Lonchura striata: one gene and its partner. The protein of the gene in region 1 purifies or fractionates together with the protein of each later gene. This does not show direct contact. Links are inferred from orthologs where the notes say so. Each region holds a gene or a part of one and is shown on either strand. Other genes may lie near its edges.

What was found.
Region 2: the proteins of RYK (region 1) and PCDH7 purify together in Homo sapiens (affinity purification with mass spectrometry; 3 studies listed by BioGRID and IntAct, with this or other methods). This does not show direct contact. The link is inferred for Lonchura striata from reciprocal best matches to the Homo sapiens genes RYK and PCDH7.

What each region holds. Positions count from the first base shown.
Region 1 is NC_134612.1:5,531,235-5,535,141, forward strand, and holds the start of RYK (tyrosine-protein kinase RYK), read right to left. Parts: upstream 2,574-3,907; coding exon 2,300-2,573; intron 1-2,299. UniProt on the Homo sapiens protein: May be a coreceptor along with FZD8 of Wnt proteins, such as WNT1, WNT3, WNT3A and WNT5A. Involved in neuron differentiation, axon guidance, corpus callosum establishment and neurite outgrowth.
Region 2 is NC_134606.1:20,194,312-20,198,218, forward strand, and holds the start of PCDH7 (protocadherin-7), read left to right. Parts: upstream 1-1,003; 5' UTR 1,004-2,707; coding exon 2,708-3,907.

The DNA of each region.
Region 1 (3,907 bases):
AGAGTTTCTGTTCAGCCACAGCAAGACAGTAGCAGAGGCGAGATTGTTTAGAGACAAAAGGTGAAAGAATCCAGTTTCTATTAGCAGCTTCACTGAACTTAACACTTCACTTCACAAGCAACCTCATTTTCCTATCCCCGTGACTATCCCAGCATCTGCTGACCCACGGCTTTTCTTAAAGAAGTTCCAGAAGCTGAATCCCCTCACTGCCCTTGGCAAGTTCATGCATATGTACGAGGCCTTAAACCATGAACTTGACTGTATAAACCCCAATCAGATAGTACAAAATGGAACATATGAAAAGCTGGGTTTGTTTTCAGAATCGTGAACACCTGGAACAAAACTGTCTGTCCCTCTGGATTTTCTTCTGCCAGAGGAATACATTAAGTTATTGATAAATTGGCCTGTGTCTAAATGCCTCCCTAAACTACACCTCACCTACAGACAAGAGCACCCCTATAATTGTAGAGATACCCCTAAAATTAAATCTACTCATGCCAACAGCACAATTTAGATCATGGAAGTTTGGTTTGCAACAGATTTCCAGTGATCTGAACCCCACTAACTGAAGGAAGTCCCAGTTTACCTCCACATTAGATTCCAATTTATCCAAGTCTCTGGGGTCACAGAGGCAGAACAGATCATTCATGTCAGATACTAAAAGTGATATAAACCAGCTACAGACAGCCGAGTAGTGAGTGCCTTCGGCCATGTAGTAATAGACCCCCACAAGCGAGGCTAGAGGAAGAAATTTAGCTTAAAAAATAGTAACAGCACATCTTGCCTCCTCAGCTGCTACTTCATGATGAATAATTATGTCAGTGGGCCACGGAAGCCTGAACAAATCCAACTAACAGAGATTTCAGGCACTAGACAGGGGAGAGCCCAAACCTTACCTTTCAGTACTCCCAAGATTAACTACTTATTTAGAATCCCAGCTCACCAGAAAGTCAGACATTTTCACCCTCTATCTGTACCAGAGCATCTGGCAGTAAGCACGTGCCACGTACAAATGACAACAGCAGGACACTGATCACCAGGGCAAGCCACGAGGGAAAAATGTTTACAGTGCTCTTCAGTCCCCAGATTCCATGACTTGGGTCAGCTGTGTGCTCACAGAGTGCAAATTAACTGGAGATATTTTTATTTTGTCCATTTGACACAAATAAAGTCTTGCACTGGCAGTTTTCCAGCTTGCAGAGATACAGGGCATTTGGGAAAAACAAATCACTGGGGACACCAACAGATTTGTTTTGAGACTCCAGCCACCAACTCTAAACAAGAGCCTATGCAAGCCAAAGCCTACAGAAAACAAATCTTTGTTTAAGTCAGACTCTCCAAGCACAGAACTCCTGTGAAAGCCTTCCACAGCGGGCCAGATGGGGGACTTCAGGAACTGCCTCCAAGTCCTTGCACAGCAATTGTCAGCCTGCCTAGAAATTAAGATTCCTTTCACACACACACACCCAATTATTGCCAGGTCTCCTCTCTGCCCTCTGTATGTCGCTTGCCTGGCTAATTAAATCATGGTTTTGAGTTCACTCCTTCCAGGGCTTACCCTGCTCCCACAGGACACGATCCCCGGTTGCTCCAGTCTGGGGAGCCCCTCACCATAAGGGTGAAGCCTTTTCTTCCCCTAACCACATACACACAAAGCAGCACAGAGACCACCTTTGACTCGTCTATTCTCACCACGACCCCAGTCCTACAAAACCCACAGATCCCCGGGATCACCGATCCCCACCCCAGTCCCACAGCTCTCCATCCTCTCCTGAGCTCCATATCCTTCATCCTCGCTCAAGACCCTTTCTATCCTTCTCTGCACGCCCAAATCTGCGTCCCTTGCAGAGTCCCACAGACACCCCCCGTCTCCTGGACCCCAGAGCAAACCCCTGGCTCTGCTGACACCCACCATCCCCACCCCAGTGCCTCAGCCCCACACCCTCCCGAGCCGCAAGTCCTTCACCCCCATTCGCAGCCACTCCCACAGAACCCACACAAATCCCTGGATTCACCCATTCCCATCCCAGACCCACAGACCCCCCATCCTCTCCGGTCCTTCATCCCGCAGCCTCTCCAGCACCCGAGATCTGCTTCCCTCCCAACACTCCCACGGACACCCCAATTCACTCCTGGGCCCCAGAGCCTGCTAACGCTCATCATTCCCAGCCCAGTCCCACAGCTCCCCATCCCTTTCCAGCCCGCAAACCTCCACCCCGGCCCAGCGGACTCCCCTCGGGCCCTCCCGAGCGGCCGGGCTCCCCCCACCGCAGCCCCGCGCCGCCCCGGGCGCACTCACCGATCAGCTGCCGCACCTCCTCCTCGCTCAGGTAGATGCTGAGGCTGGGCCCGGCGCCGCTGGGGGGCCAGTCCGGGGCGTGCGGGCCGGGCCCGGGCTGGCCCTGGACGCCGGCGGGCAGCACCAGCAGCAGCAGCAGCAGCAGCGGCGGCGGCAGCAGGCGGAGGAGATGGCGGCGCGGGCCCCGCACCCGCCGGCCCCGCCGCGGCCCCGCGCCCGCCTCCCGGGGTCGGCCCCGCCGCCCCCCGCCGGGCTGCCGGCGCCGCGGCACCATCGCTCCGCGGGGACGGAGGGACGGACGCAGGGCCGGGGGGAAGCGGGCGGGACCCCCCGCCCCGCCGGACCCTCGCACGGCGCGGCCGCCCCAGGCCCCGCCCCGCGCACGCGCCGCTCCCGCCGCCGCGGGCGGCCCCTCGGCGCGGGCGGCAGGGGCGGGATCCCCTCACGGCCATTCCCGCCTCTTCCCGCATCCCGCCCGGCGGCGGGAGGAAGAGGAGGAGGGACGGCATCCCCGCTCCCGGCGGGTGCCGCTCTCAGAGTGACTGCATCGGAGAAGACTTCGAAGATCCTTGGGTCCAACCTGCGACCGGTCCCCACCTTGTCAGCCAGCCCAGAGCACTGAGTGCCCCGTCCAGGCCTTCCGTGGACACCTCCAGCTATGGAGACTCCAAACCTCCTTGGGCAGCCGCTTTTAATGCCTGGCCGCCCTCTCCATGATGTCCAACCTGAACCTGCCCTGGCCCAGCCTGAGGCCATTCCTTCATCCTGTCCCTGTTCCTTGGGAGCAGAGCCTGACCCCCCTGGCTGAGGGGGTCCCTGACACCTGTCAGGAGTTGTGCACAGCCACAAGGTTCCCTGAGCCTCCTTTTCTCCAGGCTGAGCCCCTTTCCAGCTCCCTCAGCCGCTCCTGGTGCTCCAGCCCCTTCCCCATCTCCGTTTCATCCTCTGCACATGCTCCAACCCCTCAATATCCTCCTTGTGAGGACCAGAACGGGACACAACACTTGAAGGATCTCACAGTGCCCAGTCACCGCCCTGGTCCTGCTGGACCCATTGGCCTCTTGCCCACATGGGCACACCTGGGCTCATGTCCAGCCACGATTGACCTGCATCTCCAAAGCCTTGGCCAGGTCCTTTATGGCATCTGACCCCACCGTGGAGGTCACCCACTGAATCACCTCATGCTCACCCGAGACCCTGCACATCCCCCCGCTTCTGCTAAGCTGTGGTTGCCTCCATCTCCAAACCCTTCCAGACAGACATCCATCCAGGATGGGCCAGGGGGTCATGGCCAAAACTGGAAGTGCTCTGCCAAAATATCCCCCAGAAATGATAATCCCAAAGTGACAGACTGTGGGACACCTGGTGCCCACCAAAGCTGCTCCATCAGCTGGAGAGGGGAGAGAAAATATAATGCTCCTAAATTGAGATTAAATACAGGAAGAGACCACTCAGCAATTATTGTCATGGGCAAAACAAGAGGAAAGTTTGAGGAAATGTATGGAATTTATAACCAGATTGGTAGAATAATGAGAAGTCTGTTTTGGAGCCAGCCGGCATCAGCTCCATCAGACACAGGGGAAGCTTCTGGCAGCTTCTCAAAGAAGC
Region 2 (3,907 bases), on another chromosome or scaffold:
CCCCCACTCGCCTGCCCCCGGAGCCTCCCTCTTTTCCCTCCGGGCTCCGAGCAGAAAGGACAGGTAAGGAGCCAGGCATCACCAAGGGTAGGGCGGTAGCACACAAAAGCCATACGCGATTAAATGGCTCAAAGTCAAAAGGAGACGCGAACTAGAGATGTCAGAATAAGCAAAGTTGAGCCGAAGAGCTTTAGCATTAAAGTTTATTTCCCACTTACCCAGGTAGGTGACGCTACATTTTAGCAATCATCGAAGCAGCAAGTCTCTGTTCGGAAATAAGTCTGTTACTTCTTACATGTGTTTATTCTACTAACCCTCTCGCTCCCTTCCTGATCATTTCCGAGGCTGGTTTTGTTTGTTGTTGTTTTTTTTTTTTTAATTTATTTTTTATTTTTCTCCTAGGATACCCACAAACATGCTGAAAACACATTCAAAACATGGTAATAGGAAGAACACAATCACAAAGACTGAGAGGCTGAAACAGCATTGGGAAACAGGACGAAAGTCTGAGATGTAAGGCAGTCCCCCTTCCTCCCTGGAGTTTTATGCAGTTACAGTGACTGCAGCTATTTCACAAAAGCACCGACACAACAGGGGAAGGTGGGAATCTGCAAAACGAGTTTCCTTACCAGCTTGATTCCGCAAAATGCACAATAGAAGAAAAGAAAGACGAACAAACATTTGCTTTAAAAATCGTTGCTCGATTCACAGTCTATAGCGGACGTGGGGAGGGAGAGGAGAAAATCACTATAGATCACGGGTTTGAGAAAGCAACAGAAGCAACACTCGGGCGTGAAATGAGGATCGGTTTTGAGGACTGGACTGGTGTTTTGTGATGAGCAGCTATCCCACTTGCAGTACTAGCAGCAGAGACAGAGGGTAAGACTGAGCTTTCTGGAGTGCAGCGCTTGACTCGTCGTCCCTCCTCCTCCTCCCTCCCTCCCTCCCGCCCTCCCTCTCTCTCTCTCTCTCTCTCTCTCTCTCTGCTCTCCCTCTTTCTCTCTCTCCCTCTCTTTCTGTGTGTATGTAGCGCAGGCGGCTCTGCTGCTGCAGCGTCAGGGAAGAGCTACCGAGAGAGGCTTCAGCAGCTCCCTCCACTTTGGGCAAACTTGCCGGTTTACCGCTTCTTCTTTTTTTTTTTTTTTTTTTTTTCTTCTTCTTCTTTTTTTCTTTTTTTTTTCCTTACGAGTGAGAAGCTTCTCAATTGCCATTCAACATTTTAAAGCACAAGCCGCTCTGCCGTGAAAGCGCCTGATCCACACTTCTCTGAAAGACACAGGAGGGAATACACAATTGCAGATTTCACCCACTGTGGCAGTGCAGATCAAAGGAAACAACTGACTGATACAATTTTATTTGCAAATAGAACTCTGTATTTTTTTTAATCGCGTCGCGGCTTTTTTCCCCTCCCCTTTGCCATTCCGCTTTATATGGATGTAATTCAGAATCTGTGTTAATTCACATGGGGGATCCAGTTACATCTTGTTCCGCTCCGGGTATAATTACGAGAGACCAATAATCGCCTTTGGACACATAGTTTTGTTGCTAACCTTTGAACTGAAAGGATCAAGTTCAGATCTGGTTACCTGCATTGGGACGGGAAGGAAGAGGAGAGAGAGAGAGAGAGAGAGAGAGGGAGACTGCAATCTCATTTGTGAATCGCTCTCAGTGCTGCAGATCCAGATTGCTTTAACACATGCAGTGCAAATGCAGGTAAGGCACACACACAAACTGCGGATGCAAAAACAAACTTGGGACTGTTGTGTGTCTATGTTCTTATCTCCAGCCTTGCAAATTCCGGGCAAACGGCTTCTGCAGTTTCTGTATCGTTGCTTTGTGACTAATGACCTTGCGCAGAGTTGTTAAAAAAAATCCGCTCCGGAGAAAGAGCTGAACATTTTAGGCGATCTCTGAAGATGGATTTGGGTGCTTTTTTGCCAACCAAAGGGGATATTCTTTGGACTGCACTGTAATAGCCGGGGTTCTCTCCTATCAGCTGTGCAGCTGCCGACATTATTGGGATTTTTTTTTTTTTTTTTACTTTCTGGGTTTTTTTTTGTTTGGTTTTTTTTTTTGTTGTTGGTGGTGGTGTTTTTTTTTTTTTTTTATAAGAGCTGCCCATTGCTAAGAGGATTTGGAGTTTTCCCGGACCCAAGCCCTTTGAATAAAGCGAATCACAATATTTTCCCCTGTGTGTGCAGAGAGGGGGAAAAATAAAGCTAATGCCTTGGTCGTAAACGGCTGAGAGGGGGAGAGAGAGAGAGAGAAAAGAGAGAGAGTGTGTGAATTATAGTTAACTCTAGTGTTGAAGACAACGACCTGGGGGGCTTCGAATCGTACAGTACTGCTTCTGCTTTTATTGCAAACCTTGCAAAGTGAATACAGTAAAATCAGAGAGGAGGAGGAGGAGAAGGGGGAGGAGGAGGAAAATCCCATCCTATCTACTGAGATGAATCTTTAAAAAGCAAAATCTGCTGTCCCGTGAACTGTAAGTATATCGCAACTGGAAGGCAGGGATAGCAGCAGAGGAGCCAGCAGCAGGGTTTTGACCACCAATTGCACCAGTCATGAGACAATAAGTTTCCAGAAATAGAAGGATTTTATAATTGATCACCTGGACTGTCAGCCGCACTGTTGGCTTGTCAGGGGAGTTTATTGGGGGGCAGGTGGGAGTGAGAGGAGGGAGGGGGGTTTCGGTACGAGGAAGATGAGGAAGATGCGGACCCTCCTTCGCTTTGTGCATTGCTGCTGCTGCTGCTTCTTGTTCCTCCTGCCTCCTCCGCTCTGGGTCAGCCTCGCAGCGGCTAAGCAGCTCCTGAAGTACCGGCTGGCCGAGGAGGGACCCGCCGACATCCGCATCGGCAACGTGGCTTCCGACCTGGGGATCGTGACGGGCTCCGGAGAGGTGACATTCAGCCTGGAGTCGGGCTCCGACTACCTCAAGATCGATAACATGACCGGGGAGCTGAGCACCACAGAGCGGCGCATCGACCGCGAAAAGCTGCCGCAGTGCCAGATGATCTTCGACGAGAACGAGTGCTTCTTGGACTTTGAGGTGTCGGTCATCGGCCCCTCGCAGAGCTGGGTGGACCTCTTCGAGGGCCGGGTCATCATCCTGGACATCAACGACAACACCCCCACCTTTCCTTCCCCCGTCCTCACGCTCACCGTGGAGGAGAACCGGCCCGTGGGGACGCTCTACCTGCTCCCCACCGCCACCGACAGGGACTTCGGCCGCAACGGCATCGAGCGCTACGAGCTGCTGCAGGAGCCCGGCGGGGACGGCGGCCGGCGCGGCGGCGGGGGGGGCGCGGCCGCGGCGGCCCCCGAGAGCGCCCCCTTCCCCGGCGGCAGCAAGCGGCGGCAGGAGGCGGAGGCGGCCGCCCGCAGCAGCGTCTTCGAGCTGCAGGTGGCCGACACCCTGGACGGGGAGAAGCAGCCGCAGCTGATCGTCAAGGGGGCGCTGGACCGGGAGCAGCGGGACTCCTACGAGCTCAGCCTCCGCGTGCGGGACGGCGGCGACCCGGCACGGTCCTCGCAGGCCATCCTGAGGGTGCTGATCACCGACGTGAACGACAACAGCCCCCGCTTCGAGAAGAGCGTCTATGAGGCGGACCTGGCGGAGAACAGCAGCCCTGGGACCCCGATCCTGCAGCTGCGAGCCACCGACCTGGACGTGGGAGTGAATGGGCAGATCGAGTACGTCTTCGGGGCGGCCACTGAGTCCGTCAGGCGCCTACTGCGGCTGGACGAGACCTCGGGCTGGCTCAGCGTCTTGCACCGCATCGACCGGGAGGAGGTGAACCAGCTTCGCTTCACCGTCATGGCCCGAGACCGGGGCCAGCCCCCCAAGACAGACAAGGCCACTGTCGTGCTGAACATCCGGGATGAAAATGACAACGTGCCC